Linked DNA regions of Caenorhabditis elegans. The protein of the gene in region 4 interacts with the protein of the main gene of each other region in a pairwise test. Each region holds a gene or a part of one and is shown on either strand. Other genes may lie near its edges. The genes, in order: mpz-5, cdap-2, pqn-54 and ant-1.1.

Region 1 (7,341 bases), on a different chromosome or scaffold from region 4:
ATCTTCATAGAGAAAGGTTTGTTAAAAAACATGTTACTATTCATAAAATACGATGACTTTATAAATTAACAGTGCAAATTTCCAGCGTTGATGATGTTACGATCCCATCTCGTTCAGGACGGGGAGTTCTCAAGAGGGTTTCCGAAGTTTTTGATTGTTGGTTTGAATCAGGATCCATGCCATATGCCCAGAATCATTATCCATTTGAGAACCGCAAAATCTTCGAAGACAATTTCCCAGCTGATTTCATCGCTGAAGGAATTGACCAAACCCGTGGGTGGTTTTACACACTTCTAGTTCTGTCAACTGCTTTGTTCAACAAGCCACCATTCAAGGTTCGTACAATTTCAATATTTTAATTTAAATCAAAAATGTTTTCCAGAACCTGATCTGTAACGGACTCGTATTGGCGTCGGATGGAGCAAAAATGTCAAAGAGTAAGAAGAACTATCCCGATCCAATGCTCATTGTTAACAAGTACGGAGCCGATGCTTTGCGTCTTTATCTCATCAACTCTCCTGTGGTTAGAGGAGAAAATTTGAGATTCAGAGAAGAAGGCGTAAGAGATCTTCTCAAGGATGTGTTCCTTCCATGGTTTAATGCCTACAGATTCTTTGTACAAAACGTACAAGCATATGAACATGTAAGTTTATTCATGTTGAAACAATTATGAGATTGAAATATTATCGTTTTTAGGAAACTGGAAATGTGTTTGACATGAACGTTCATGTTGCCAGTGAAAATGTCATGGATCGGTGGATTGAATCCTTTACAAACAGTCTTGTTGCGTTTGTTCGGAAAGAAATGGATAGTTATCGGCTTTATGCTGTTGTTGGACCGCTTACAAAATTCTTTGACACTCTTACAAATATCTACATCAGATTAAATAGAAAGAGAGTCAAGGGAGACAACGGACTTCATGAGCAACATCACGCTTTGGCAGCCCTCGGACGAGTTCTCATTTTGATTGTTAGATTGATGGCTCCTTTCACACCATTCTTCTGCGAGTATATCTGGCTAAATTTGAAGAAAGTCATTGGTTCGACTGAGGAATCAGTTCACTTCCTGATGCTCCCAAAACCGGATGAGAGTCTAATCGACGAGACTGTGGAAAGACGAGTTGAAGTTATGAGAAATGTTATCGACTTGGTTCGTCTTGTTCGCGATCGTGAAGGACTTGCTGTGAAATATCCATTGAAGGAAATGATTGTTATTAACAGAGACAGTCAGTTTTTGGAAGACGTAAAAAGTTTGGAATCATATATTCTTCTTGAGTTGAACGTCAGAAAATTGACCGTTTCACAAGATAAACAGAAATACGGAATCACCCTAAAGGTATTAAAATTTCAAAAAGTTTGTTCAAAATATAATACTTAAAATTACAGGCAGAGCCAAACTTCAAAATTCTGGGTGCTCGTCTCAAGGGAGAACAAAAGAAGGTTGCTGACTACTTGAAGAACCAAATCACTGAATCTGAGTTGGAGAAATTCCTTCTTGAAGGAAAATTGACTGTGCTTGGGCATGAGCTCTCCTCGGAAGAAGTTGCTGTTAGCTACGCGGCTGGAAGTGATCAAGGACATGGATACAAAACTCACTCGGATGCAAAGACCATTGTAATGATTGATACAACTGAAGATGAGTCTCTTATTGAAGAAGGACTCTGCAGAGAAGTGACAAATCGTGTTCAACGTCTTCGCAAACAGGCTAAACTTGTATCTACTGATACTGCTCATGTTCATATTGTTGTTAGTCCAGCTGATTCTCAACTCGCAAAGGTTGTTGCTGCCAAATTGAATGACATTGTATCCGCTACTGGAACACCTATCAAGTTGGGATCACCACCAGCCGCTGCAAAGGCTCCAACTGCCACCAGCAAGAGTGCAATTAAGGATTCAGAAGTTGAGGTAAATTCCGTTTTTGTTGATGTTCTCTAATATTCCTGAACAATTATTTTCAGCTTTGGTTGTTCGCCGAAGGTGACAGTTTCGATGGGATCACTGTTGTTGATGGATCAAAGAAAGTTCGAGTTCATGTGAAAACAGAAAAAGAACACCTGAAGGGATATGCTGATCTTCTATATCACGTATGTTTATCGGGTTTTCCTAGAAATTTAAAATGTTAAATCTGTTTTTGTTTCAGGTTCGCTCTGCTCTTGATCTCTGGAACGGTAAGATTGCCTTGAAGAATGTCGATGGATCGGCGGTCCATCCAACAGTTGACGTGACGTCTCTTGTTGGTCAGACTCTTCAACTCGTACGATAAATTGCTATTACATCTTTAAATTATCCATATCCGGTTCGCATTTTAGTTCCTGGCTTTATTTGAACCCATTTGAACCGCAGTTTTTCTCATATTTGTTTCTTACACTATTTTGTTTGCTGTTAACGTATAATATTTAATTATGAATGTTTAAGGATTTTAATGTAGAAACTTTATTATCAGAGAAATTCAGCTAGCATTTTTACACGCTCTCAGTTTAGCAGGATCAATGTCACTAACGATCTGATGTTCTGTACGTCCCTCTTTCAATTTGATGTTTTTCTTCTTATCTCCTTTCTTCGGTTGTTGTGGTAGATATCCTTTCCCCAATTTTCTGAACTCCTCTACCGCCTTATCAGCAATTGCCACAACATCATCTGCCAAATCAATGTGATCTCTGAGAATATCTCGAATTGGTGCTTCAATAAGAAGCGTAAAGTGTCCAGAAGAAGCGATGCTGCTCGCAATACAATAACGGAGCATGCTCTTCGAGCAAATTGCCTGAGAATTACACTCCCGAATGACATCTCCAGATTTCAGATGGATGGATGCTAAGCTGTTTGGAGTAACATAATCAACCTGAAAATGAAATGCGGTGGTTACTGTAAGTTTAAATTACCTCCAAACGATCTCTATTGTTATATTTGACAAATAATCCCAAGTCAATGAATTGCATTTCAGGAGTTGGACGAACTTTTATGAGAACCTAAAATAAGAAAGTTTTTTTTTTAATTTTTAAAAAGCTGTCTCACAAAGTAATGGTTAACAGGATTTGGAGTGATTCTCTCTAAATCTCTGTCAATTTGGATTTTCTCAACAGTTGTTCGAATATGAAAACACCAGGAAAACATGTTACGTTTCAGTTGTAGATGAATATTCTGAAATTTTCGTTTGCAAACACTCGATTCAGAAATATTAACACCTCAGTTTTCTCTTTCAACTTTTGGTGCAACTCGTCACTAGTGTGGATAACTTTTTCATCGATTGCAGTGATACAATCACCTAGAAATGCTTTTCCAATAAGATGTGATTCAGGAAGGACATGTGTGATCTGAATATGAATTATGTATGGTGTCCCAAAATCAAGATCAAGAGCTCAAGAATTTGAATAAATACTATTTGACAATTACCCGACAATCCTGCTTGTGTACACGAACTCCTATTGGCTTTCGAATCATGAAATGGTCGATCAATTCCTTTGGCAAAAGCTTGTCAATGTTGAAATCTTTATCAAGAGCCAACTTAATTCATTTATGTTTATTTTGAATCGTTTCAGTTGTCTTACGCTGCCGCTTTCATTTTTCTTCATAATTCGATCGGTTTGTATGAAAACTCAATTGGGAAATGATTTTTTTTTGATTTTCAGGTTTTATAAAACGTTTTCTTAAATCCAAATAATTGGAAACGTGACATTAAATTTAATATTAAAATAACACAATTTTTAAAACTATTCTTCTTTATCACGAATTGTCGATTTCTGTTTTTTACAAACATTTAAACAGAATTCTGTACAGAACTTTTTTTTATTCACAAAACATAAAAACCTTTTTTTTATTTTTTGGGAGCACGCACAGCAAATGCGTCAGCACAAGTTGCTGGCGCAATTCTCGTGCTGACGCTTTTACGAACCCATTATTTTCTTTCGAATTTGCCAACCAGCTTTCCAAGACTCAATTCTTGCATGGTTTTGGGAGGAATATTGAATTTTTCAGTTTCATTTAATTTTTGAAGTTTGCAAAATCATTTTTCATATTACTTCGTTTACATTTCTATTGCTCGTAACTGGATTTCGTTAGGGAAAAGGAGGATGCGTTATGCGCGAGTATTCGGATTATCCTCCATAATTTTTTTCTAGTTTTGATAAAGTTAGTTTTAATATATTTGAGAAAATTGTTTATATCGATTGTTAAGAAATCATTATGTTTAATTCAAAAAGTAACATGCGTTTCGGATCTACGAAGTCATTTATTTTTTTGAATGCTAATTTTAGGATTTTCTAAATTTTCTAGAATGTTATTGCGAACAATAATCAATATGTTCCTTCTTTATCACTATCATCCATCGATTCATCTTCTCACATCCTCCCTAATTCCTTTCCTCCTCATGCCCGTTGCCATGCCGTTGTTCCGATAGTGAAACGAAAAGGGCAGATGGAAGAAGACGTGTATTATGTCTGTCACGCGCCTACAACTTCTCCGAACATCGCCTGTGTCTTACTTTCATGGAAGAAACACAATAAATTGTTTTCCAACATTTTGAAATTATGGGTTATCCTCTTCACCTGCCACATAGGTTTCCGGAAGAAAATTTTTGTTTTGAAAAGTTACCATTAAGATTATTGTTTCAGTTAAAACAATCATTTTTCTTTGTATTTTCCTTTTTGCTTAAAAATTCAGAATTTTCCAATATCAATTATTTTAAAAATTTCAGAAGCGACGAGACCACCGTGTTAGTTTAGCCAAAGGTGGAATGGCTCACCTTAATATGTTCAATCACCTCATTCCATTAGAAATGGATATGGATGGAGCAGACGAAGAAAAACGACAACGAGTTTTTTCATCTTTTTACCACTTTGGTGCTAGGGTGAGCTATTTTTGTTCGACTAAAAAAATTTCAATAAATTTATATTTTAGCTTTACGATTGCCTTCACACAATTGCCATCGAAATCGAAGACGATGACTGTGAGCATTTTCCGACAAAAGCCATCTCAACTGTTCTCAAAATTCTCAATTTTGAGCATTTCCTCTCATCGGACAAGTGTCGATTTCCCCCGGTCTCCAACCTTCTCGATATAATTGAGGTAAATATTTCAATTAGTTTAAAGTCTCGATTTTTATTAATTTCAGAGTCGACAAATGGATGATTGTCAAATCCTTTTTAAAATATCCGACCTTCTTGAAGATCATAAAAGTGAAAAACCTGAAAGATTTGGACCGTACAACCCTTTGGATCCCAAAAAGGTTCCAATCAAAAATGCTGTCGATGCACTTACCTCGGTTTCCTCGATGGCTTACTCGTGAGTTTTCAAATTGAAATTTTTGATTGAATAAGTAATTGGAATTTTTCGAGTATTCACCTTAAATAAATTAGCACTTATACAAAGTACATATCAAAAATTATATACCGAAAAATTGAAAATCAGGAGCGCCATTTTTTTCCATTTTCTATGAAACACGTTGGAATGACATTGCGGAATAGGTTATTTTTTGCAAAGTTTCCGAAAAAGTCGAAAGTTGCAGTCGAAAGTTATGAAAATGAAATTTTTGTTATTATTTTTGAATACAAAATCGCATTTCATGCTCAATTTTCTAGACATTTTGAAAATTATAAATTGATTGACGGAAAAAAGGAACCTGAAAAAATAAAAAAAACATTATAGAATTATTTTTCAGCTTTCTTGCCACTACATTCGCCGAAGAATTAATGAAAGCAGCGATTCGTGATATTTATGTTTTTGACGAAGATTCGCTTGAAGACAACGATGAAACCCAACTCAGCGACGAGAATGGTGGTAAGTTTTGATTAAAAAAACAGCCCGTTATTTCATACTATATTACAAAAATCGTACAAATATTACAAAATCAAGCTTTTATGCTCAAACATTTTTTGATTTCAAAATGCCTTAGGATCTCGTAACGCTTTGAACTTATCCACAAAATAAAAGTAAAACAACATTAACAACATTTTATAATAGACATTGAGTGTTAGTACAGAATAAGAAAATATGCTTAAAAACTGTTTGTTTTAGCTTTATGATGTGACTGACTGAAATGGACGATAACATGGACGGTGATAAATTTCTGGAAAAAAAAATAAAGAAAATAAACAGAAATAATATTAAATTTCAGTATTCGATTCCACACCTTCGAATAACGAGAAAAAAGATTCGATAATCAATTTTCGTCAACTTCCTTCCATTGATAGTCAAATTGTTCAGCAAAATGCAATGCTTCTTCTTGCAGCTCGAGTTGGTGTAAGTCATTTAGAAACGTTTTTCATGAAATTTCAAACTATAATTATTCCTTCAGATTGAACAATTTGTTGAGTATTCTCACGAAATTGGAGTTATGCAGTTTCGTGGTGATAAACTATCAAAAATCACTCCTCTAATGGAAGCGGCTGCAAGTTCCAGTGAAACTATTGTTCGACGACTTCTTGAATTGGGCGCCGATCCGAATGTTGCGTCGATTCCAAACTGTAATACGGCACTTATTTATGCAGCATCAACAGATGGAAGAGATGTTGTACGAGAGATTTTAATGACGGAAGGACCCAAGAAGCCAGATGTTTATCTTATCAATAATCATTATCATGATGCAATGATGGAAGTTGCACTTGTTGGTGGAACGGATACTTTGAAAGAATTCTTGGAAATGGGTTATAGGCCTCGATTTCTTAATCTTCGACAACAAGAACGAGTAAGTTTCCGTATTTCTATCTCAAAAAAAGGTTTAATAAAAAGAAAGTTCCACCGGAAATTTGTATACATTTTCCAGATTATCACAAAAATAATTTGTTTTTTATGGAAAAAAGACATTGTTTTTTTAAATTGTAAGTCTTATAAAACTTATATTGATATCAAACTTTAAAACAGATAAAAATAAAATTCTGAAGGTCTTTTCAACTGTATAATGGATATTCGGGTCGAGTTTTTTCGAATGTCACTCACCTCTCATATATCTCCACATAATAATAAAACAACAAGGAAGAGTTCAAATGCATTCCCAAGAGCATAATTTTTGAGTCAATTGGTTGTAAATATCTCTCTATGGTGATATTTTATAACCACTATATTGGGCAATTTAAACACATTTTTAAAAGTGACAGTCTAATGTTAATATATTCTAAAACTGAGTTATAATGAAAAAATAATACTTGAAGAATTCACGGGACACTGGGACTTCGGTTTTTTCGGCTCTCGAAAAAAGCAACAAAAATCCTAAAGTTGTACAGATAATATATAAAAAAGTTATTAACTCAAAACTATTTGTAACATTTTCAGGATTCGGCTCTGACTCTTTCCGCTCAAAAAGGTCACATTAAAATCGTCACCGCAATTATGGATTACTACGAAAAGAATC
Region 2 (8,836 bases), on a different chromosome or scaffold from region 4:
AGAATTTTCTGAATTTTTTTTTAATTTGTGAAATGTTTTATAATTTTTAAAGCAAAATATGCAAAAAATTCCAAAAACTCTGAGATTTAGTGACTTTTTCAAACAAAAAAATCCAATTCTCACCCGTGACATTTTCTCTTGAAGCGCCGCAAAATTGCTCTTCAAAGCCGAAGACGACGGAGCAATGGCTGGCATTGTTGGTGAGGTGGATGTGGGATTCAGTTGAGAAGGAGCTGGAGCTGGAGCAGATGGAGCAGCTGGAGCTATGGTAGAAGGTGGTGGGTCGGCCTGGAAAATTGAGAAAATTGGTTTTGTTTATTTTTTAAAAAACATTTTCAGAATATTAAAAAAAATAAATTAAAAAGCATCAAATAAAAGGTAGACTGAACCTTTTTTGTTGGAATTTTTTTGAAAATTTTATCTTTCATTTTGCGCAAAAATTTGACTTTGAAAATCCTCCGTAGTTAATTATTTAAAAAAAAACATAAAACTCTTTTGCTGGAAGAGTCTATCAGAAAAAAAATCAGTGAAATTCTTGTAGTTTTGCTAACTGAAAATGGATTAAAGGTGGAGTACCGAAATTTGAAACTTTGCTTTCTTAGACCCAAAATAGTCCAAAACTACCGAATTTCGTAATGAAACGTTTAGAAAATTTCTCAAAAAAAGTTATGGTGGTTCAAAGTTCGGAAAAATAAAGCTCATTTTCAGCTAAAATCAAAATTTTTTCCAACTTCTCGGTGTTGCAACGTCTGGAACCTAATTTTTATTTATTCATCACTTTTTAATAAATATTGCGGTCTTTGATTGGGCGTTTATTCGTTGATTTAAGTACATTTATGGTCAGACGGGCACAAAATGTAACTTTTATTTGTGTCCCACTGACCAGAAATGTGCTTAAAACAACGAATAAACGCCCAATCAAAGACCACAATATTTATTAAAAAGTGATGAATATATAAAAATTAGGTTCCAGACGTTGCAACACCGAGAAGTTGGAAAAAATTTGATTTTAGCTGAAAATGGGCCTTATTTTGCAGAACTTTGAACCGCCATAACTTTTTTTTTGAGAAATTTTCAGAACGTCTCATTACGAAATTCGGTAGTTTTGGACCAATTTGGGTCTAAAAAGACAAAGTCTCAAATTTCGGTACTCCACCTTTAAAACTGGCCAAAACAAAAATTCTCGAAAAATGCTTTAATGGCAGCTTGAAATTGGAAAAAAAAGTAAAGTTTTCCTTAAAATTTTGAAATTTCGTCAACTTATTTCAATCACAGCGACTGGAAATTAATGTTCAAATTATCATCCTATTTTGCACACAATAATGTGGTCTCTGATTTTTTTTAAAAATTCAATGGCGCCGAAAATTTGTACTGGAAAAGAGTCTAAAAACTAGGAAAAAAAACATTTACTGGAATTCTTGTTGTAGTGATTGAATTAGAATTGCAAAAAAAAAGTGAGGGAATGTGTGAGAGACGCCGACAGCTCTCCCCAATGATCGAGAATTCAGTGTGTGTGTGTATGTCGGGAGACAGAAAAAAAAAACGAATTTTTCTCTCGTGGGAGGATGAGGTGTCTCTGTGTCTCTCACATAATATTCTGAGTAGGTGGAGATTTGATTTTTCCATCGTTTTTTTCTAAACTCATGAGAGGTGCCCCCGTCGTAAAGAAATTTCGGCGTCGGCTCTCAGATTACCTACTTTTCGTAAAGTTTTTATTACATAACAGGGGTGGGCAAATTTGTCGGTTTGCCGATTTGCCGGAAATTTTAAATTCCGGCAATTCACCGGTTTGCCGCTTTGCCGGAAATTTTGAATTCTGGAAATTTGCCGATTTGCCGGAAATTTTAAATTCCGGCAATTCACCGGTTTGCCGCTTTGCCGGAAATTTTGAATTCTGGAAATTTGCCGATTTGCCGGAAATTTTGAATTCTGGCAATTTGCCGATTTGCCGGAAATTTTGAATTCCGGTAAATTGCCGATTTGCAAGAAATTTTCGGGAAATTGACGGTTTGCAGATTTGCCGGAAAATTTGAATTCCGGCAATTTTCCGATTTGCCGGAAATTTTGAATTCCGGCAAATTGCCCATTTGCCGGAAATTTCAATTCCAGCAAATTGCCGATTTGCCGGAAATTTTGAATTCTGGCAATTCGCCGATTTGCCGGAAATGTTTAATTCCGGCAGTTTGCCGATTTGCCGGAAAATGTAATTCCGGCAATTAGCCCATTTGCCGGAAATTTCAATTCCAGCAAATTGCCGATTTGCCGGAAATTTTGAATTCTGGCAATTCGCCGATTTGCCGGAAAATGTAATTCCGGCAATTAGCCCATTTGCCGGAAATTTCAATTCCAGCAAATTGCCGATTTGCCGGAAATTTTGAATTCTGGCAATTCGCCGATTTGCCGGAAATGTTTAATTCCGGCAATTTGCCGATTTGCCGGAAATTTTCGGGAAATTGCCGGTTTTTTTTAACCAAAACTAATTTGAAAACTGAAAATTAAGATTAAAAATCACCAGTTTTAATTTAAAAAATTAATTTTCAACAGGAAAATAAAGATTGTTTGTTGAACAAATATTTCAAAATTAAAAAAAAACGATTTTTAAAAAAAGTTTTTCTATGGAAATATTAATTTTCAAAATAAATTAATATTGGATTTTTTGGCAAGTTTTCGATTTTCAGCGAAAAAAACCTAAATTTTTATTTTTCCTGCTAATAATCGATAAAACGGAAAAAAATTTCAATTTTTTCGGCGAATTCCAATTTTTTTCGAATTTTCTATGTATATTAATGTTCTAGTTTTTTTTTTTTTTCAATTTTTGAATTTTACCGATTTTGGAGTGTTTTCAGAATTTTTTTCGGTTTTTTTAAAAAGGAATTTTCAGAAAAAAAAAATCACACAACTTTAGGATTAATTATTTCCAGAAATAAAGTGAAACATTTTTTTTTCAATTTTCTCAATAAATCCCCTCCTCACCACTGAAATTTTCGCGGGTTTCGGTGGAACAGCCGGTTGTGGTGGATTGACTGGTGGTGGTTTGTGAGAGACAAACGTCAATGTCGCCTGACGTGAAATCGACCCATGTCTGGCACCGGATTCCGTTCCCAGTGGGACTTGAACCAATTCGACAAAATTATCCGGAAATAAGCCCTTCTTTCCGTGCAGTTCACCTTCAAACCATCCAGCGTCACCGCAGTTCTGCAAAAAATTAGTAGAAATTTGAATTTTTTTGGGAAATAATTTTTTTCCAAATTTTTAATAGCTTTTTTTGTTTAATACTTGATTTGAAGAGCCGTTTTTTGAATTTTTTTTTTTTTGCAAAAAAAGTTTGAAAATTTAAATTAATATTAAATTATAAATTTCAGGCCATGTATTTTTTTAAGTCGAAACTGTTTTTTAAAAAAATCATAAAAATTTAGAATATTTATTTTTCGCATGAGTATGACTTTAAAATTGTTATTAAGCAAAAAAAAAAGAGAAAAATTAAAATTTTGGCATTTTAATCTACAAATTTCCAACTTAAAGTCTAATTCGGAAATTTTAAAACCCAAAAATTAAAATTTTTGCCGGATTTTTCAGGGTATTCAATTTTTTTATCGATTTTTTTTAGAAATATTTTTTTCCAAATTTTTATTAATTTTTTTGTTTAATATTTGATTTGAAGAGCCGTTTTTTGAATTTTTCAGACATTTTTTTTGCAAAAATTTTTTAAAAAAATTAATATGAAATAATAAATGTTAGGTTATGTTTTCTTTGAATAAAATTTCTCAAATTGTTAAAAGCAGCGTTTCAAAAAAATTTTTTTTTAATTTGTTAAGATTTTTTAAGTCAAAACTGTTTGCGCAAAAAATTTCAAATTTTTAGCAAAAAAAAAACTTTTAAAAAACAACTTTAAAAAATTTCTTGAAATTTTCTAGTAAATTTTCGATTTTTTAAATTCTGAAAATTTTTGGGGATAAAAAATTCGGCGAAAATTTGAATTTTGATAAATTCTGTTAAACTTATAATTTTTCCAGTTGGAGTTTATTATAAATATGACGTTTTCAAGCAAATATAATGAAAAAAAAAATTAAAAATTGGGGATTTTAATCTACAAATTTCAAATTTAAAGTCTAAAATTTGGAAAAAAAATTAGACTTTAAACTTGAAATTTGTAGAATAAATTCCTCAAATTTTTAATTTTTTTGCTTGAAAATATATTAGTTTATTAGTTTACTTAACAATTTTAAAACCCAAAATTTTAATTTTCGCCGATTTTTTAAGGTTTTCCCATTTTATTTTCCAACTTTTTATCTAAAAATTGCAGAAATCCTGATTTTTTTTTCCGATTTCAGTGAATTTGCACCTTGTTTGTAATATTAATCAGCATATCAATCTCCTTAAGAGCCAGCTCATCATCGTGTTGGGGATTGTAGACAAATTTCACGCGAGCCATTTCTTTCGTTTTCGTAGTTTCTGCGTCTGTGCTCGCCGAGGCTGCAGAGCTCGCAAATGTGCTGCTGAATTTGGTTTCCAAGGCTTTGAGCACTGGAGCCGGGTCCGAGATTATCTGAAATTTTGATTTATTTGATTTAAGTGAAATTCTTCAGTTTCTGTATTTAAAAAATGTTTGAATAAAGTGCTGAGAAGCCATTTATGGAATTTTTTAATTGGAAAAAAACTATTTTCTTTTCAGTTTTTTAAAATTTAATTTTTCAGTTTTTTTTTGTTTTTGTCGAAGATAACTTTAATAAAAAATTGTAATGTAACAAATTTTAATTAAAAAATTTTTTCACTTCTAACCAGAAACTTACAATTAAAAGCTGAAAAAAAAGAGTTTTGGAACAAATTAAAAAAAAAATGTTTGGATATTTATATTTTTTGAATGAAAAATTAGCTGAAAATCAAAAAATAAATCGGCAAATAGGCAAATTGCCGGAACTTTTAAATTTCCGGCAAATCGGTAAAATGGCGGAATCGTAATTTCCGGCAAGTCGGCAAACCGGCAATTGCCAATTTTCCGGATTTCATCGACAAAAAATTGTTGATTTTCAATTATTTAAATTATTTGAATTTTTCCAAAAATTTGAATTTTTGCCATAAAAACTGATGTCTCAGGCACCGATATTTAAGTAAAATCTGTATTTTTGGGATTTTTCAGATTTTTTTCGCTACACGAACCGTCGACGGAGTTCTATCAATAGCTTTCGGCTCGCTTCTCATCACAACTTCACTTCCAATCGATTTTGCCGGAGTTCGAGCTGCTGAGCCCGCCGAAGTTGATGCACTAGCCGCTGGAGCAACTGCAGCAGCAGATGTGCTCGGCGTAGGCTTCAACGTCACAAAATTCGTCGGGAACATTCCGACGGCTCCAGTCGACTTGAGTTTTCCCTTACTCCAGCCATCTTCAACATCAGAGATCAGTTCGATGAGATCTCCGACGACAAAGCTTAGCTCATCGTCTTGTTTTGAGCTGTAGGCATACGTGGCCACGTATATTTGAGCTTGTGGTTGTGGAGGGGGAGCTGCAAAAAATATTTAAATTATTTTTTTGTAAATTTACACAAATTTTAATTTTTTTTTTCGAATTTTTTAGATATTTTTTTTCAGGATTTTCATGATTTTTTTTTAATTGTTAGAGCTATTTTAATATTGTCCCTCGACGAGTTTTTGAGCACCAGATCGTGAAAAAATCACGAAAATCGTGGCGGGACCCATTCGATCCAAGCCCCGCGCCTTTAAAAATGTTTGGATCTTTTTTTCAGTGTTATAATAATAATAATTGAAAACTGGAAGAAAAAAACATCTTTTTTAATTTGAAAAAAAATTAATAAAACTACAAGATTTTAGTGGAATTTAATTGGAAAAACTTTCAGATCGGCCGTTTTTTCCCCGAATTTTCTAGAGCTTTTTGAGAAATTTTCCTATTTTCTCGGACCAAAGCTCTAGAAAATTCGGAGCAAAAAAACGGCCAATCTGAACATTTTTCTAGTTAAATTCTACAAAAATCTTGTAATTTTATCTTTTTTTTCAAATTCGTCAAAAATAGTTTTTCTTCCAGTTTTCAAATATTATACATACTGAAAAAATATCCAAACATTTTTTAAAGGCGCCGGTTTTGGATTAAATGGGTCTCGCCACGATTTCCATGATTTTTTAAAGATTTGGTGCTCGAAATAACGTGATTAAATTTTAAAAATTAGAAACATTTAAAAAGAAAAATTTTCACAAATGAGAAAATCTCCGGTTTTTTTTTCATTTTTTCGACTGAAATTCTCAAATTTTTCGGTTTTTTTTTCAAAATTTCCAACTTTTTTCTAAAACAAACCTCTCCGTTCCACCTGTTGATGTACTGTAAATGGATTTCGATTTGTCATATCTCGGGAAAGTCGATTCACAATATCTCGCACATTTCCAGCGACTACTTCTGTCTGAAAATTGGCAATTTTTAGATAAAGATTTTAATCTGAAGTCTTTTATTTTTTCAAAAAATCACAATTTTCCGATTTTCTTTTGTTTTACATATGTTTTCTTTAAAAATTGCAGTTTTTACACATTTACTTGGAAAAAATAAAAAATTTTCACTTTTCCTAAAAAATCCCAAAATTTCCCATATTTTTATCCCAAAAATTGTAACTTTTTTTTCAAAAAATCATAATTTTTACAATCTGTTTTTTTAAAAAAAAATCAAAATTCTCACACTTTTTTTCCGAAAACTCTTATTTTTACCAATTGTTTTTGACAAAAAAATCGCATTTTTCTAAATCTTTTCAATCAAAAAATAACATTTTTACGTTTTTTGCCCAAAAATCTTAATTTTTACAATTTTTTTTTCCAAAAACGGAAATGTTTCAAATGTTTTTTATTTGCAAAAAAACAAAATTTTCACACTTTTTTAAAAATCTCAATACTAAAAAATCGAATTATTTTTTCTAAAAAGTCGGAATTTTTTAATTTTTTTAATCAAATAATGGCAATTTTCTCATTTTTTTTATCCAAAAAATTTGCAATTTTCATGACTTTTTCGACAATTTTCTCAATTTTCCAAAAAAAAAAAAAAAGAGATTACGAAATATACTAACTTCACCAACTTGTGCCATTTGTCCTCGATCCGCGAGTGTCCAACAAAAAAAACAGTTCAAGGCGGCTCTCGGATACAATTCTGGAAAAAATCACAATTTTTTTTAATTTTAAAATTAAATAAAGACTTTTGTGATTTTTTCAAGATTTCCAAGGTAACGTCAAAAAACCAAACAACGGCCAAAAAAAAAGGCGAAAATCGATAAGGAATTGTTTGTGCAGTGATGGTGGAAAATGTGGGGCAATAAAGTCAAAAACTTCTGTTATCAGTGGGGAGATGTGGAGAAAAATTTTGAAAAAAAACGTGGAGTGAATTTCAATTTTCACTTCTTCAATTGTGTGAGTTTCCCCCGAATGAGTCATCGCAGTGGTGTCTCCTATCGAGCGCCGCCGCGGGAAAGATCAATCACTTTTCGAACGTGTCCCCCTCCCCCACCCCCCTCTTCAATGCGTTGATGACCTGTGAACAGAAAAAAACGCGGCCAAAACAATAAAATCTCGTAAATTTATATTTTGATCGAGATGACATATTTAGGAATATATAATACGAAAATGCAAAATTCTGAGAATGCGAAAAAATTGTGAAAGTTTCGAAATTTTTTTTGAAAAAAAAAGGTGTAAAATTTCAATTTTTGAAAAGAAAAAAAAATTAAAATCTCGGTTTTTTAAACGAAAATTGAAAAAAAATCGAATTTTTTGAACTAAAAGTGTAATTTTAATTTTTAGATTGAAAACAATGTGAGAATTCCAAATTTTTGACACGCTTTCTCATTCATTATGACGGATATTACACGGTAACACGAAGTTGTGAGAATGCGTATTGCACAACATATTTGACGCTCAAAATATCTCGTAGCGAAAACTACAGTAATTCTTTAAATTACTACTGCAGCGCATGTGTCGATTTACGGGCTCGATTTTTGAAATGAATTCAAATAATTTAATTTAAGATTTAAAAATTAAGCAAAAAGTGAGAAAATAGGTAATACAAAGAAACTACTTTTTTCATGTCAAGAATCGAGATCCCGTAAATCGACACCAGTGCTACAGTAGTCATTTAAAGAATTACTGTAGTTTCCGCTACGAGATATTTTGAGCGTCAAATATGTTACGGAATACGCATTTTTACGAGTTTTGTGTTACAGTAATAACGGTCACAATAAATGATTTCCATTTTTGGAAAGGATAAGAAAATCTCGTTTTATTGGTGGAAAAATTGAATAAAAATCGATTTTCGAGACTTTTTTGTCTAAAAATCAAAATAACACTTTTTTAATCGAATTTTTCAATTTTTTCCTTCAAAAAATCAATTTTTCGCGCTTGTTTTTGATAAAAAGGACTCAAAATTTATTTTTTCGAAATATTTTTGAAATAAAACCAAAAAAAAATTTTTGGACCAAAAAATCGAACTGATTTTCGATTATTTTTTTTGAAAACCGTAAAGCTTTTGAAATTTTTGGGAAAATGCAGAAAACTGACAAAATCTCAATTTTTTAAAGTTTTTTTTTCGATTTTAACATCGCGCGAATTTTTTTGTCGACAAATTCGACAAATCGGCAAATTGCCTATTTACTGGATATTTGAATTCCGGCAATTTTCCGGTTTGCTGATTTGCCGGAAATGTTTAGAGGGATTTTTTATAAGACGGAAACACTTAAAACTGTGCCTTTTTGAAATTTTTTCCCGTTTTCTTTGAATATTTTCATAGAATTTGCTTGCTTTTCAAAACTGATGTAGGAACCAGGGGTGTGCGGCAAATTTGCCGAATTTGCCGAGCTCG
Region 3 (7,967 bases), on a different chromosome or scaffold from region 4:
GGTGTTCTGATGAGCCAGGAGTTGATGAAGGATCGGCGGATGCGATCGGCTGTGGGCCGATGCGGAAAGCAGCGCGTCTGGAATTTTTGAGATTTATGTGTTCAAGTTAAAATCGTGGGTGGCTATTTTTTTGTTTTTAATATTTTTAATATGAAATTTGGCAATACTAATAAAGTTAAAATAGGGATATGAACTGAAGCTCGGCACGAGAAAAATCGAAACGTAAGAAAATTCGGCAAATTGGCAAATTGCCGGTTTGCCGATTTGCCGGAAAATATCATTTTCGGTAAATTACCAATTTGCCGGAAGTTTTTAAAGCGATTTTTTATAAGACGGAAGCACTTAAAACTGGTCCTATTTTATTCCTGTTTTTCTTGATATTTTCATAGAATTTTCTTACTTTTCAAAATAGATATAGGCACATTCATAGGATGCCTACAATTTTGCCGATTAAAATTGAAATTCTGAAATTACCAAAAAAAATGTGCAAAACCACAACGTGCCGAAAAGTTTTGACAATTGCCGGTGTGCGGCAAATTGGTCGAATTTTCCGAGCATGGCAAATTTTGAAATTTGCTCTATACATCAAAAATTTAAAAATACAATTTTGACCAACACTATTGATTTTTTCCCCAAAAATTATGTAAAATGACACAAAATTGAGTCATTTTTACATTTTTCACACGGAACTTAATCAAAAAAAAAAGACGCGGGTTAAGAATTCAGTACTTTTAGTGCTCCAAAAAATATTTAAAAATATAACATTTTTCGGAATTTGTTAAGCACGGCAATTGTGCCGAATTTGCCGAGCTCGGTAAATTTTGAGATTTGCCGATTTGCCGGAAATCAATTTTTTGAAAAACCGTAGAGAAAAAACTCACGTGGTAGTTGGTAATGCAAAGTTCGGAAACACGTTATCTCTCTTCATCAATGGATACCATTCGTCATCATCCTTTTCCACCTCAACTTCACTGATTGTTGACATCGAATCCCAAGTCATTGCGTCTTCTTCATCATAGTCATCATCTTCCTCTTCATCACCCGTTTCTCCAATGACCTGTCTTCCATTTCCATTGGCGGCTCCATTCGTCTCCATATGATAGACTTCCATATCAGAGTCGTCATCAGGTTCGGCGTCAACATCCAACTCATCTGGACTATCCACATCAATCGCTTCTTCCTCTTCCTCCTCCTCCTCGTCCCCGCCAAATTGATGTCCAAATTCAAAGTCGTCGTCACGATGTTCCATATTAGAGCAGTGGGGGTTGATTCCTCAAATTTAAAGGTGGAGTAGCCTCAGTGGGGAAATTGTTAAAAACCACTCCTATAGTCCCAAAATGACCAAATATCATGATAAAACTTTCCAAAAAATTTTTGAAAATTTTTTATTTACTGTCAAAAAGTGGCAATTACACAGTTTTTGCTACTCGTAATTTTGGAACTCGACCAAAAAACTTATTTTTTCCTACATTTTTTATACTTTAATTTTGTTTTAATTATTTGTATTAAAACATTGTAGGGGTGTGAACATGCGACATTGCCTTGGATTTCCTCAAAAGCTCGTATTTTTCAAAATTTTGGCGATTTGCCAAAACTTTGATCAGAAATTATGAAAAATCTAAAATTTTTTGGAGTGTTTTATTATTATTATGATATTCGGTTGTTTTGGATCATTATAAGTGCATTTAAACAAAACCCCCACTGGCGCTACTCCACCTTTAAATATTAAATATGATATTTCAAATAAGCTACAAAACTCAGGTTCTAAAAATCCACAAAACCCCGAAAATAAAGCCAAGTCAAAATGCAAATCGATAGATGAGAGAGAAAGAGGCACAGAGGTCTCTTCACTCACAAGATGCAATGCGTCTCACTCTCTATGTCTCTTATGGTCTCGTGTTCACATTAGACTTGGTTCTATGGTGACCGAGACATATCGATAGGAAACATTTTTTCGTAATATGCAACCATCATGTGTCATTTGAAAGTGTTTCATGAGGCTATGTCACTGCAAAATTTTAAGCGGCAAAGCTCTACTCTCAACCCCAAAAATTTCGATCTTAAATTGTTTCAGGCCAGTAGAATTGGTCCTGATTTTTTTTGTGCAAATTTTCAATGTTTTTTAGAACGGCTAGAAATAAGTTTACATTCTGGGAAATTTTTAAAAATTTTAAAAAATTTTTGAAAAAAAAATCTAAAAATTTCCTCAATCCACTCCACTCGGTTCAAAAATTTTTCAGATTTTTTGAAAAAATTTAAAAATTTTCAAAAATTTTCCAGAATGCTTACCTACTTTTAACCGTTTTGAAAAACATTGAAAGTTTGCAACAAAAAAAATTTGGAGCAATTCTACAGGCCTCCAAAGTAGTGAAGAAGTGCACTGTAACAGTTTCAGATCGATGCTAGAGGGGTTGAGAGTGGAGCTTTGCCGCTTAAAATTTTGTAGTAATATATCCTTATGGAACACTTTTAAATGGCACTTGTCTCGTTTTGAAGTCTGACATTAAAAAATAAAATAAAATAAAAACCTTTCCTTGAAAAGCGGCCATGTTATTTTTTAGTGCTAATCTAGTCAATAAACTGTGAGCCAGCTATAAGTTTTGTAGTCATTGTTCATTTTCTAGACAATAAAAAACCAAATAATGTAAATCAATTAAAATATCAAAGTTGTTTATTAAGTTCTTGTGAAACTAATTGGTTTCATTATATACAAAAACTTGAAGTCATTGTTCAGAGTCCGTTCACTTTCTTCTACAGCACTGTCCATTTCCGCATGGAGAGTAGTTAGCTTGGCAGGAGCACGAGTTTTGTGGGCTTTGTGGGCTCTGCTGGCAAGCCGTAGTCGCTGGCTGAGCGGCTTGGCAGGAGCTGGAGCACGAGTCCTGGCAGGCAGACTGGCACTGAGCGGCTGGTTGTTGTTGCTGAACGCATTGCTGCTGGCACGACTGCTCGCATTGTGGAGTACACTGGGAGGACTGGGCGACGGAGGATTGGAGAACGATTTGGATCACAGCTTGGGAAGATGCTGGGGCGGATGTGCTGGCATCGTATGGGTTGTACATTGGAGCTGGAGTCTGAGAAGTGCAGGAGTTGTCACAGGCTGGCTGGCAGGCTGGGGCGCAGTTGGCGGATCCGGAACCTTGGTTGTTGTTGTTGTATGGATTGTACATTTGGGTGTTGGTGTTAGAGTTCTGGTTGTAGACCTGTTGAGTGGCTTGAGCAGTTTGTTGGCAAATGTTGGAGCACTGGCTGTTACAAGCCGAATTGCACTGGTTAGCTGGCTGTTGTTGTTGGGTGCAGGATGATTGACACTGTTGCTGGCACTGTGGTTGGCATTGAGCTTGAGCCTGTTGGATCTCGAGTTGGATGTGGACTACTTGTGGTGCCTGAGTGGATGTGGCTGGAGCATCGCAGGCAACGTTGCACTGTTGCTGGCATTGTGGCTGGCATTGGGAAGCTGGTTGTTGTTGCTGAACACAGGTGGATTGGCACTGCTGTTGGCACATTGGCTGGCATTGGACGACTGGAGCTGGTGTGGTGGTGGCTGGTGGATTGTACATTGGAGCGCACTGGGATTGGCACTGCTGTTGGCATTGTGGCTGGCACTGGGCTACCGATGGTGCAGCCTGGCATTGTTGGGTGCAGCTCTGTTGGCAAGCTGGAGCACATTGAGTGGTTTGGACCTGAAAGTCTCTCTTTGGAGCTATAGCATAAGTTTGCTAGTAACCTGAACATTCTGGGTTTGTTGTGGTTGAGCGCAAGAGCATGATGGGGATTGTTGCTGAACTGGAGCAGATTGGCACGAGCACGATTGAGTCTGTTGAACCTGTTGGCACGAGCATTGGCTCTGCTGGGGTTGAGCACATCCGCATTGTCTCTTCTCACGAAGCACATTGCCCTGAAAATTAATATTCGTAGACTCAAATTTTTAGATCTTGCACAACTTACAGACACCACTAGGGCGCAGGCGAAGAAGGCAATGGCGAGGGAGGTGAAGCGCATGATTAGAGCCGAAAGTATCGGATGAGTATTTCCATTTGATTGTGGGCTTATATACCATCTCGCTTGAAACTATCCCAACCATCTTCCGCCTTCTCATGCCGCGCGGCAAACAATTTATCGCGTGAAAAAGTGTTCGGTAAGACGAGCAAAGATGAAAAAAAAAGAGACGGTGAGCAGTGCACTCGAGTGGCCTATTCAAATAATCTTTGATTGACAAGAGAAAAAATTCATGATGTATGTGCACCAACACTTTGTTGAACTTCCTGCCCGTTATCACAGAATATATAGAGGTTATCGCTAACATGGAAATCAGTAAGTGTGTCGCGGGCGATGGAAGTGCAGAGATTTCCAGTTTGATTCCTGTGACAATGACTTTTCAACAACCGAATAATCGACGAAACAGTGGCACCCTTTCGAAAACGAGCATATTTTTGTATTGTGCCTATATTTCGACATGCTTGGTGAGTGTAGAGGGAATTTAAAACTAGGAAGAAAAAAAAAGAAATTCGCATACTTTTATAAACTTCAAAATTGTTTTTTAGTTCAATGTGGAAAAACATGAACATTCAATTTTTCGATACTATTTACAGGAAGACAGGGCTTGGTCATTCTGTGTCTCTCTTTGTATGGACCTGATGGGTGGTATGAGAGTGGTTTCCATTGAGCAGCTTTTCGAGGGAGTCTTGCAAATGTTTCTCAGCGGATATTTAGGAAAGCATTTCGACGGGCTCTCGAGGAAACGGGGTACGGTAGACAACTAAACGATCCCGTGGTGTCAGCCTGCCTCATTGCGGTTCGATCTACGACAAATGGGAATATTTTACCAGAAAAATTGTGACGTCAGCACGCTCTTAACCATGCAAAATCAGATGAGATCTCTGCGTCTCTTCTCTCGCATTTTTCGAAGATCACAGCAAAATGGGACGTTCTGACTCCACGTGAACGATTCATTTTTACAAATTTCGATTACTGCAAAAATGATTTGTTCAAGTATCACATTGACCTAACAAAAACTACAATCAAATACTTATTTCGTGAGTATTTGTAAGAGAAAATCAAGTTTTCAATTTCAGCAATCATGACCGTCGTACCGTTGAACAATTTGAGTATTTGTGCTGCAGCTGCTCTTATTATCAGTGAGTTCTAATTTGACACTGATGTAGGTACTCGAAGCTAAAATATTTTAAGCTTGTCTGTCTATCGATGCCACGTCACCGTGGTACATAGTCTGCCTGGTTCTAGCAATGTGCATATGCGCGGTGAACCGGCTTTTCCTGAACGCGGAAAAGTTCATCACAGGCAGAGATTGGGTTATGGTACTCGGAAATGATGGTACACTGTCGAATATGAACGCAACTCTGTTGACATTGGATCAATGTACCAATGTTATTGCACCGTTAGTAACTGGTGTTAGTTCTGTGTTCGCTTTTTAATTCCAAAGTAAAAACAAACTAAGTTAAGGCTCTGGTGACCTGGGTTGGTCTTCGTGAAACAGTTGGAATATTTGGTATAGCCTCTCTTGTTTCAATGGCTTCAAAAACCATTTTCCTTAGAGCAATCTACATCTCCAATCCTCTGCTTCAAGTGAAGAAAGACAAGAAAGATGAAGCGCTAGACCCATTCGCCAATTCAAGGCTCAAAGAATCTGTGGTTTACACGTACTGGTGCCAGATCTCATTCCCAGCTGCATTTGGAATGAGTCTTCTATTCATGACAGTGATGGGATTTGATGGATTAGCTGTAGGATATGGCTCAAGTGTAGGGCTTCCGGAATTTGTTATCGGAGCATTCAGATCCTATGGATCCGTGACTGCGATCCTTGGAGCGTTTTCCTACGCATTCTTCGAAAAGCGATACAGTGTCGCCACTTCAGGACTACTGGGATTGGTTGTTCAGCAGTTTTTTGCGGTTCTAGCAGTTATATCCGTGTTCCTCCCGGGATCTCCTATGAACCTTGGTGGATACTTTGGAAACTTCACTATGGGAACTTGGTGGCACGATATGGTTCACTCTTTCGACGGGAATAACGCTACAAACTTGGACCCACATGTTGATTGGAAGCACTTTTCGTCTGATGGTGTCAGTTTGGCCAGCATCTTTGTGTTCTTGATTGCGATTGCATCCGCAAGATATGGTGAGTTTGGGTTTTTTTTAAGGTGGTGTAGTCGAATTTTTTATTACCTTATCAGGCTCAAAATTGTCTGAAAACTCCTAATTTTATAATGAAACTCCTTGAAAAATTCTCAAAAAAAAGTTATGACGGCTCAAAAAATGGGCTAAGATTAGTTAAAATTGAAAATTTGACCGACTTGTCAAGCGGCTGGAAACTATCTTTTTTTGAAACCATGGTCAAAATTTAAGTATACAATGTAATTATCTTGTGTTTTAACTTCATATAGGTATTTTAAAGTCGATGGACGGCAAGTTTTGGTTTAAAAAAATTAAAAATCTCAAGTTGAAAACGCAACATAATTACATTTTGTACTCAAAATTTGACAGTAATTACAAAAAAAAAATTGTTTCCAGCCGCTTGAAAAGCCGGTCAAATTTCAAGTTTTAACTAATACATATTAGGAAATGTCAAAAAAATCAGGAATTTTTTAAAAATTAATTTTAATAATCAATTTTCAGGATTGTGGTGCCTGGATCTGGCTATCACTCACATAATGCAAGTCACCATCCCAGAACGAGAACGAAATACAGTATTCGGAATGCACAACGCGTTGTGCCAAACGTTCTCCGTTTTAAAAGATGTTCTAGTCATTATTCTCCCATTACCGGCAACTTTTGCAATTTGTATATTTATTTCTTACGGGTTCGTCTCTTGTGGTCATATGTTCTTTATTTATTACTTGGTGAAAACCAATAGCTTATCAACGGTTGGCAGGAAATTGTCACAACTACCAGAGAAGGAGGAAAAAGAAGAGAAAGAAGAATTTGAGAGGTTATAGATGAATTTATCTAAAAGATTTTTTTATAAGCAAATAAATAATTCATGAGCAAAATATAACAATTTTTATTATTGATCTGAAACTAAACTTTACAAACGTCTTATCATATATTTTTCAATAATCTTATTGTGAATAATCTTTGAATCGTTTTTCAAAAAATTGTTTTAAATTATTTTTTGGCAATATTTAAGAATTTCTAATTTACATTTGAAAACATAAATTTAATAGATACGCTCTTGAATATTACAAAGAAAATATATTAGCTTATTTGAAAAATACCAAAAAACTGTTCCAGAAATTTATTTTTAGTAAATATAGAGTTGCACCAGTTCGGTAGTGTACTTTTCCTGAGACAACTTACTTCAACTTGGGAATTACTTCAATGTGCCAATTTAGACATTTTCCATGTTATGGACATTATTACAAAAATTCTAGATTATCAAAAACTTCAAATGTAAATATTTATTTCTCTGAAACTATGACCTGTAAGAAGCAAAATATACATCAAAAAGCTGGCAAGTAGTGTACACAAAAAATATGCTCAAAAAGTGTTCAATACGTGTAGAATCCCTGCTTCGTTTTTCTGCCAAGCTTTCCTTCAGCGACCAATTTGTCCATAAGTGGGATTGGTGCAAAACGGGCGTCACCAGGGATGGTTTCGCGGAAGACTGAAAGATTAGAAAGGGTTCAATAAAACCTAGAAAAGGAGTTGGTAAATCTCACTTTTCAAAGTGCTCTGCAGAACATCAAGTCCAACATAGTCACACAATTCAATTGGTCCCATTGGGTAAGAAGTTCCAAATCGCATGGCTGTATCGATATCTTCTTTAGTTGCATCTCCACGTTCCAGCATGCGAATGGAGTCCATAAGATATGGGATCAATAGCCGGTTGACAATGAATCCAGGAGTATCCTTCGCGGCGACCGGCAGCTTTTTGATTTCTTTGCAGAAGTTGAACAAGAAATTTGTGGTCTCTGGAGAAGTTTCATCAGTTGATACAACTTCTACAAGCT
Region 4 (8,106 bases):
AAAATTTTCGATTTCTCGATTCTTTGCAAATTGCAAAGAATTGAACTTTTTTGATTTTTGGTTTTCTCTGAAAACTACCGAAAAATTTGAAAATTTTGTATTTTTTCATTATAAAAAATCCGAAAAATCGAAATTATTTGTTTTTCGATTTATTAAAGATCTTGAAAATCAAAAATTCTCTTTAAAGGCGCACATGCGTTTATATCGTACAAAAATCGATCGTGTCGAGACCTGGAAATCTTCTTGACAAAACTGTGATCGTTTTTACCTGTATATAGTCATCAGTCATTTCTGTAATCTTCTCCTCGACGCACATCATTTTACAAAATTCTCGAATTGAAAGTGCATTTGACGGATGAAGACGAGTCAGGAGAAAGTTTCCACAATGTTGCACAACTTCCAGCATTTGGAAAAAGTTTGCTCCTAACATTATTGATTGAACGTTGCCTGGAAACGAAAATCTAAATAAAGATTTCTTCAAACAAAAAAATACTTACTTGTGGTTATTCTCAATTCTCCGGTATACGCAAATGACAGAAGAGCATCCACAGTTTCGTAGTTCATATCTGAATCTGGTTTATTTTTTTTTAGTAAAAATAACTTTCAGAGTTTTACCTTCAATATTTATCTCTTTCATGTTGGCTTCCATCAAATCCAATGTGAACATACCGCGAAAATATGGAATTGTGGCTGCGAGTATTACCTGAAAGCTTGATTTCGGTTAGAAAAAGTCGCATTAAATTGCTTTAAAATTACTTTGTGTGCTGATAGCTTTCGATTTTCAACCAACAAGGCCACATCGCAGAGCTGACATTTCGATCGCAGTTCGTTGAATATTGAGTAGCTTTTTTTATACATTTCATCGAGAATATCGACTTTTATAAAGTCCAAATCGTCATCTGTGTAGAGGGGGATTTTCGCAATTTTATCATGCTTCACGTCAGATGCGAACATTCTGAAATTGAACATATTTTTAAAAAATTCATAAACTTTATAACAGAACAAAACATCTTATATTTATAAGATCTTATTCTCCCACGAGAATGCCGAATTAAAACACGAGAAATGCGCAAACAAGAGAGCATAGAGATTTGAGAGACACAAACAAACATCGCAAAGTACGCCAGCAACCACTCCTTGACGCATATTGATTTTGTGAAGCTAAGAATTCGATTTTTCATTTAATTTTTACAAGGTTTACAAGAGAAGAAATTTAATCAGTTTTCCCACCTCAAAAATGCTTAACTATGATAAAATGGAAAAAATTGGAGAAGGTAAGCTATTCCCTGCCCATTTTTCCAGCCAAATTGTTGACTTTCAGGAACCTACGGAACCGTTTTCAAAGCCAGAAACAAAAATTCAGGAGAAATCGTTGCGTTGAAAAGAGTAAGGTTGGACGATGATGATGAGGTACTCAAAAAGCATTCAAAAAAATAAACTAAAATTCAAATTCAGGGTGTTCCAAGCTCTGCTCTCCGTGAAATTTGTATTCTCCGCGAGCTGAAACACCGAAATGTAGTAAGGCTCTACGACGTTGTTCACTCAGAAAACAAGTTGACACTGGTTTTTGAGTATTGCGATCAGGATTTGAAAAAATTTTTCGACTCGCTGAATGGGTATATGGATGCACAAACTGCACGATCCTTAATGCTTCAACTTCTCCGTGGTTTATCCTTTTGCCACGCTCACCATGTACTTCATCGAGATCTCAAGCCGCAAAACCTGCTGATTAATACAAATGGGACACTGAAACTAGCTGATTTTGGATTAGCCAGGGCGTTTGGCGTCCCAGTTCGATGTTTTAGTGCAGAAGTTGTCACGTTATGGTATAGACCGCCGGACGTGCTTTTTGGAGCGAAATTGTACAATACTTCAATTGATATGTGGTCTGCCGGGTGTATTTTTGCAGGTTTTTTTTAAAAATTAAATTTGCCAATAAATTTTCCTAATTTTTACTTTTTCAGAGATCTCAAATGCCGGTCGTCCATTATTCCCCGGTGCTGATGTTGACGATCAATTGAAACGAATTTTTAAGCAATTGGGCAGCCCATCCGAAGATAATTGGCCATCAATTACACAACTTCCAGATTATAAGGTATTACATGTCGTAGTTCTTTGAATTTTTTGTATTTTCACCTCTACATATTCTTATCAAATTCTCTTAGTTCTCTAATTCCGTCTTCTTATCTTTTCCATTTTACCTGCCACGATTTTGCCGCTGTCCTGTCCTCCCGACTACTATCCGCCCGTGTCAATTGGTGAAAAACTAAAAAAGAAAAAGATAGAAAGAAGAAATGATATTGAGTACTTTGAGCTCAGCTGTTTGTTCGGGTGACGTAATTCATACAATCACGGGCGGCTGGGACAGGACAGAGAACAGAGTATTGAGTAGATTTAGAGAAGCAGAGACAACTGTTCTAGATTTAAGATTGACAATAATTAATTGAATTCCATTGCATTATAGGAACACACAAGTATAACATACCATTTTTCAGCCCTACCCAATCTACCATCCAACGCTTACATGGAGCCAAATCGTACCTAATTTGAATTCACGTGGCCGTGATCTTTTACAGGTAACTTTTTTCCAATAAAAATTATACTTACTCAAACTCGAAGTATTTGCAGAAACTTCTTGTTTGCAATCCAGCAGGAAGAATCGATGCCGATGCAGCTCTACGCCATGCGTACTTCGCAGACACTTCTGACGTCTAACTATTCACTATTGCACTTTCCTACTCACATTGTTTTCTCGCTTTCCCTGGCATTCACTTCCCCCACTGACCCCAAATGAACCTCATTGCTTGCGAAACAAAATCTCATCGTTAATAAACGGCTACGGTTTGAAATCTTTCTGTGGCACATAATTGAACGAAGGGAAAATCAACAACGTTTTATTGTTGTTCGAGTAATTTTAAAGATCAACGGCAAACACAGGTGCAATAACCGAGATTGTCAAACCGAGTCCAGATAAAGGGGCTATCCTAACGAATGTTCAATCGGGGTGTTGAGGGAAAGAATGAGAATTTGAAAAGGGGAAAACTTTAATAGAGGATTTAAAACTTTTTATGTGGCTCGCTTTATTTTTGAAAACTTAACATAGTAGCTAGGTGAACTACTTTGCTAAAACAAGCTACATAACGAGATTTTGTTGGACAATGACAAGGTAAAAATTATCAAAGTGTTATCAAATTTAAAGGAACTTCTGGATTTCGTCGTAGATGGCCAAGACGAGGGCTCCTCCGGTTCCACGGAAGACGTTGGAGAGGGCTCCCTTGAACATAGCGGACATTCCTTCGTTTTGGATGATCTTCTTTGCGCAATCGAGGGTGTTTTTGTAGAGGATATCCTTGCGTCCAGACTGCATCATCATACGACGACGAACAGTGTCCCATGGGTAGGAAAGGATTCCAGATCCGACTGTGACAACTTGAGCAATTCCCCAAGCGGCGAAGAAGTTGAGTTTCTGTCCATCAGAAGCGAAGACCATCTTGGCGGTATCGAACATTCCGAAGTATGCGGCACGGTAGATGATAATTCCTTGCACGGAGACGAAGAATCCTCTGTAGAGTCCGATTGGTCCATCGGATTTCACGATCTTGATAAGGCAGTCAGCAAGTCCCTTGAATTCACGGTCGTTGGCCTTTCCAATATCAGCAGCAAGACGGGTACGGGCAAAGTCGAGTGGGTAGACGAAGCAGAGGGAGGTGGCTCCAGCAGCTCCTCCGGAAGCCAAGTTTCCTGCGAAGAACCTGAATTTCAAATGTGAAATTTTCTAAAAACAATAATGCAATGTTTAACTTACTTCCAGAAGTCCTTCTTTTTGTCGAGTCCCTCAAGGAAGATTGCCTTGTATGTGTCCTTGAAGGCGAAGTTCATGGCCTGAGTTGGGAAGTACCGGATGACGTTAGCGAGGTTTCCTCTCCAGAGGGCAGCAACTCCTTGCTCCTTTGGGACACGGATGAGAACATCCATGATTCCCTTGTAACGCTTGTCAACGGCGATAGCCTTGGAAGCATCTTGGACCTAAAATTTTTCATATTTATAGTGGAAAAAAGTTTCATCACACACCTGGAGGAGAAGCTTGACACGCTCAATTGGGGCAACAGCGGTCTTGGAGACGGCAGCAGCGGTACCTAAAAGAAAACAAAATTAATTAAATCACAAATTTGACGAATGAAAACCCAAAATTAATAATTATAGAAATCCTCCAAATTTTTGCAATAAAAACTGAAAAAGCTTACCTCCTGAGGCGAGATCGATCAAGAACTTTTTGGTGTCGAAGGACTTTTCTTTGGACATGATTCAAGATTGAAGGACCTCGGTGGTCGGTGCTTGCCAGAAGCAATAGTGGGAAGACGGCCGCCCGTCGAAACGGGGTGCGCGCACAGCCCGTGAGGCACTTTGCAGGTCTCGCCACGCTCGCAAGTACGGTGCGTCAGGCGCGGCGATTCAAACACTAGTTTTCTCTGACCGCCCAGTTTTGGGATTTTTTGCATATTTTGAGCCTAAATATCAGTTTTGTTATCGATTTTTCGTATTTTTCTTTTCTAAACGTGTTCGTTCCTTCATTCCTGAATTTTTCACGTTTTGTTTTATTAAAAAAACGTGATTTATTTTCGAAAAATAGGTCATAACTCCAAGAAAGTAACTTAATTGCGAAAGTTTCAGTTTTTATGAAAATTATGAGCCATGTCAAAGCAAACACAATAGTGTATTAGTGATAAGCAGTACTTGAAGTGTTTTTTGTTTATTTACACTGTAGATAACTGGTTATTCGTAACCTCAATGTTCCGAAAAAAATCGATATCGCATTGTGGCTAATTTATGCCTACGGGAGTTTGGTATGACCGGTTTTTCGAATCGCTTTAAAGTAGTTTTCTTCATATTTCTCTTCTCATCGAGCCAATGACTTGTCACTATCATGGAATTTTTTTCGGGTATCAGTATGTCGAGCCACAAGGAAGAGCCACTCGAGGCTGACGTCGATCAACTTACTCAATACCGTGAGCGATGTGCCGACCATGTCACCGAATTCAAGAGTATTCTCGACGAGTGCAACGATCGTGTCAACTCTCGTTCTAACACTGAGGAGACCTGCCATCAGGAGATGGCTGACTACGTTCACCATTTGGATCACTGTGCCATGCCAAAGGCCTTCGCTTCGTTGAAATAATATTTCTTTTCCTGCTTTTTTTGAGGATTTCTCGTCTAGTTTATGTGAATTTTCGCTCTCGTATTTTTTATCCGTCGCTTTTTCCGTGTATTTGAGAGATAAATAAATAAAAATTTAGGGTACCCCATCCGCATCACTGCTGGACAACAATGCCGTCTGATGCGAAGAAAGCACGCGAGGCCGCTAAGAAGGCTGCCGCCAAAGGAGGAAAAGGAAAAAAGAAGGTGAGCAATTGATTTTTAGTTTTTTTTTGTTTAACAAATAATAATCATCTCATTTCCAGGTAGAAACACCAACCGCCATGTCATCTCAACATCCGTCCGTCAACAGTCTCTGCTGTTTAGACGAGGAGCTCGATCAGGCCGCCGCCACCTTGGCCAAAATCGAATTGGAAAACGCTGCTGCTCGTTCAGTCGCCGGATCATTGACTTCCGATCCAAAGGGTCTTGATCACAGAGTAGAAAGCCTGACGGTAAGTGGTTTTTAATTGGCGACTCCAACAAGTAACTTTGTTTTCATTCAGATTACATTCCACGGTCGTGAAATTGTCGTTGACACGAAACTCGAACTCAACCGTGGACGTCGTTACGGACTCATCGGATTGAACGGATCTGGAAAGTCTACCATCATTCAGGCAATCTACAACAAGGAAATGCCAATCCCAGAGTCCGTGGATATGTACCTCGTATCCCGTGAAATGCCTGCTTCAGAGAAAACTGCTCTTCAAGCGGTCGTTGATGTCGATTCAGTCAGAAAAGAGTTGGAACATCTTGCCGAGCAGCTTGCTAGTCAGACTGATGAGGAAAGTCAGGACAAGCTGATGGATGTTTACGAAAGGCTGGATGAAATGGATGCATCTCTCGCTGAAAAGAAGGCTGCCGAAATTTTGCACGGACTTGGATTCACAAAAACTATGCAAATGAAAAAATGTAAAGATTTTTCTGGAGGATGGAGAATGCGCATTGCTCTCGCTCGTGCACTTTTCCTGAAACCGTCAGTCTTACTTCTCGACGAACCGACCAATCATTTGGATTTGGAAGCTTGTGTGTGGCTTGAGGAGGAACTCGCTCAGTATAAAAGAACCTTGTTGGTGGTTTCTCACTCTCAAGATTTCATGAACGGAGTTTGCACCAACATCATTCATTTGTTCCAAAAGCAATTGGTTTACTATGGAGGAAACTACGACCAGTTTGTGAAGACACGTCTTGAATTGCTCGAAAATCAACAAAAACGATACAACTGGGAACAGTCTCAACTTCAACACATGAAAGATTACGTCGCGAGGTTCGGTCACGGTTCTGCCAAACTCGCTCGTCAAGCTCAATCCAAAGAAAAAACTATGGCTAAGATGATTGCCGGAGGCCTCGCTGAAAAGGCTGTCACTGAAACCGTGAAACAGTTTTACTTCTTTGATGCTGGGGAGATTCCACCACCAGTTATCATGGTTCAGCATGTTTCATTCCGATACAACGAGAATACTCCATGGATCTATAAGGATATTGACTTTGGAATTGATTTGGATACCAGAATCGCTTTGGTCGGACCTAACGGAGCTGGAAAATCGACACTGTTGAAGCTTCTCTGTACTGATGTGATGCCAACTGACGGATTGATCAGAAGACATTCGCATTGTAAGATTGGACGTTATCACCAGGTTGGGAATTTTTATGAAAAAAATCTGCTGTCCAAACAAAATTAGAAAATCCAAAAATTTAGTGAAAAACATTTCATTCAATTCGAAAGTTACACTATTTCTGAAGCAAAAGCAAGACAATGACCAAGACCAGGGCGATAATAATCCATCTCAAATTGTCAACTTCCTCCTCGGCATGCTCATCTTGCTTCACAGTTTTCATCGCTGGTGTTTGCTCAGTCGGTGTCATAGCCTGTGTAACAGCAGTGTTTGGACTGGTTGTTGAAGCTCTGAAATTGATCATTCTTATTCTTAAATTTCTGGTCGAAATGTGTGGGAATATTCTAGATATCGTCTGTGTAAATATGCTAATTTAGCCTGGCTTTTGACCACTTTCATATCAGACTTTGAACTAAATTGAACAAAACTCACGGAGTAACACCCAAATCTTTGCCGACAGCATCAAGAAGAAGTTGCTCAATTGGTGGAGCATCAGCATCGCACTGCTTCGAGGTGCTCACACGAGCCATTAGACGCGTGTTAGTTGGTGCCTCATCAGCCGCTTTCATTCCTTGATGCATGAAATAAGTTGTCAGCAGAAGCTTAGGCGTACCAAGTTCGCTCCACTGAGTGACACCATCTGGCTTCTGCCAAGTGAGAAGAATGCGCATTTGGGATTTCGGTGCAATGTGTCCTGATCCTGCTGGAAGAGCTGTGATGTTTGACGCCGCGCTGCAACGGAGCTTGACGAATATGTCACGGTCAGAAATGTTGCAGAGAAGGAGTTGAACACGAGCTTGATCGCCTTTATTTCGAATGGCTTGAAATGTCAGCAGTGTGGCTTTCATCTCTTTGTTGGGATCATCTCGGAGAGTGCGACGAATTGAAAGACGCGATCGAGTTTTCTTGCTGCTTGACGATTTCTTGGAACTTTTTCCCTTTCTCTTCGAAGATTGAGAGTTTTCCTTCGCAGTTTTCATCTCACTCTCTTGTTTATCATCTTTTTTAACTTCGGGCTGCAGAGGATCTGCAGGAACAGGAACATTAGAAGACTGTTCATTGAGATTGTTATCGGTTTCTTTTGTTTCGCTGAAATTATTGTTTTGAATAAGGTTTAGCAATTGTTTCAAAACAAACCTCATTTGCGAGCCGGACGTCTCCTGATAGAATTGAGAAATAATTTATTCCCCCCCCCCCTTGTCGATAATCATCGAGTTGGAATTTTTTCACGGAAAAAATAAAAAATAATAATTTTTTGAAATTATAAATTAATTTTTTTCTAAATAATTTATTTTTC

The links.
Region 1: the proteins of ant-1.1 (region 4) and mpz-5 interact in a two-hybrid assay, tested with the Caenorhabditis elegans proteins (one large-scale study listed by BioGRID).
Region 2: the proteins of ant-1.1 (region 4) and cdap-2 interact in a two-hybrid assay, tested with the Caenorhabditis elegans proteins (one large-scale study listed by BioGRID).
Region 3: the proteins of ant-1.1 (region 4) and pqn-54 interact in a two-hybrid assay, tested with the Caenorhabditis elegans proteins (one large-scale study listed by BioGRID).

Annotation. Positions count from the first base shown.
Region 1 is NC_003282.8:10,370,218-10,377,558, forward strand, and holds mpz-5 (PDZ domain-containing protein), read right to left. Parts: upstream 3,606-7,341; 5' UTR 3,569-3,605; coding exon 3,545-3,568; intron 3,501-3,544; coding exon 3,390-3,500; intron 3,311-3,389; coding exon 3,182-3,310; intron 3,138-3,181; coding exon 3,012-3,137; intron 2,966-3,011; coding exon 2,879-2,965; intron 2,839-2,878; coding exon 2,449-2,838; 3' UTR 2,421-2,448; downstream 1-2,420. Other genes in the region: iars-1 (Isoleucine--tRNA ligase, cytoplasmic), read left to right, coding at 1-16, 86-335, 383-643, 697-1,335, 1,386-1,904, 1,958-2,083, 2,140-2,262; Ankyrin repeat and KH domain-containing protein mask-1, read left to right, coding at 4,729-4,842, 4,893-5,060, 5,107-5,276, 5,653-5,771, 6,109-6,233, 6,289-6,678, 7,263-7,341.
Region 2 is NC_003279.8:3,323,536-3,332,371, forward strand, and holds the start of cdap-2 (SH3 domain-containing protein), read right to left. Parts: upstream 7,139-8,836; 5' UTR 7,077-7,138; coding exon 7,059-7,076; intron 6,408-7,058; coding exon 6,305-6,407; intron 5,502-6,304; coding exon 5,158-5,501; intron 4,547-5,157; coding exon 4,343-4,546; intron 3,196-4,342; coding exon 2,974-3,195; intron 289-2,973; coding exon 124-288; intron 1-123.
Region 3 is NC_003283.11:1,461,049-1,469,015, reverse strand, and holds pqn-54 (Prion-like-(Q/N-rich)-domain-bearing protein), read right to left. Parts: upstream 4,027-7,967; 5' UTR 4,003-4,026; coding exon 3,949-4,002; intron 3,899-3,948; coding exon 3,728-3,898; intron 3,684-3,727; coding exon 2,742-3,683; 3' UTR 2,656-2,741; downstream 1-2,655. Other genes in the region: gid-8 (CTLH domain-containing protein), read right to left, coding at 1-77, 882-1,249; fpn-1.2 (Solute carrier family 40 member), read left to right, coding at 4,371-4,463, 4,593-4,746, 5,076-5,138, 5,191-5,411, 5,464-6,136, 6,634-6,953; hacd-1 (3-hydroxyacyl-CoA dehydrogenase), read right to left, coding at 7,506-7,621, 7,677-7,967.
Region 4 is NC_003281.10:13,459,427-13,467,532, reverse strand, and holds ant-1.1 (ADP/ATP translocase), read right to left. Parts: upstream 4,371-8,106; 5' UTR 4,303-4,370; coding exon 4,245-4,302; intron 4,137-4,244; coding exon 4,072-4,136; intron 4,027-4,071; coding exon 3,806-4,026; intron 3,753-3,805; coding exon 3,194-3,752; 3' UTR 2,881-3,193; downstream 1-2,880. Other genes in the region: kel-3 (BTB domain-containing protein), read right to left, coding at 269-447, 498-572, 616-703, 757-954; cdk-5 (Cyclin-dependent-like kinase 5), read left to right, coding at 1,238-1,274, 1,322-1,410, 1,456-1,909, 1,965-2,095, 2,496-2,576, 2,629-2,715; T27E9.2 (Cytochrome b-c1 complex subunit 6), read left to right, coding at 4,949-5,176; tag-164 (Major sperm protein), read right to left, coding at 6,925-7,099, 7,242-7,898, 7,947-7,951; abcf-2 (ABC transporter domain-containing protein), read left to right, coding at 5,326-5,400, 5,460-5,648, 5,700-6,830.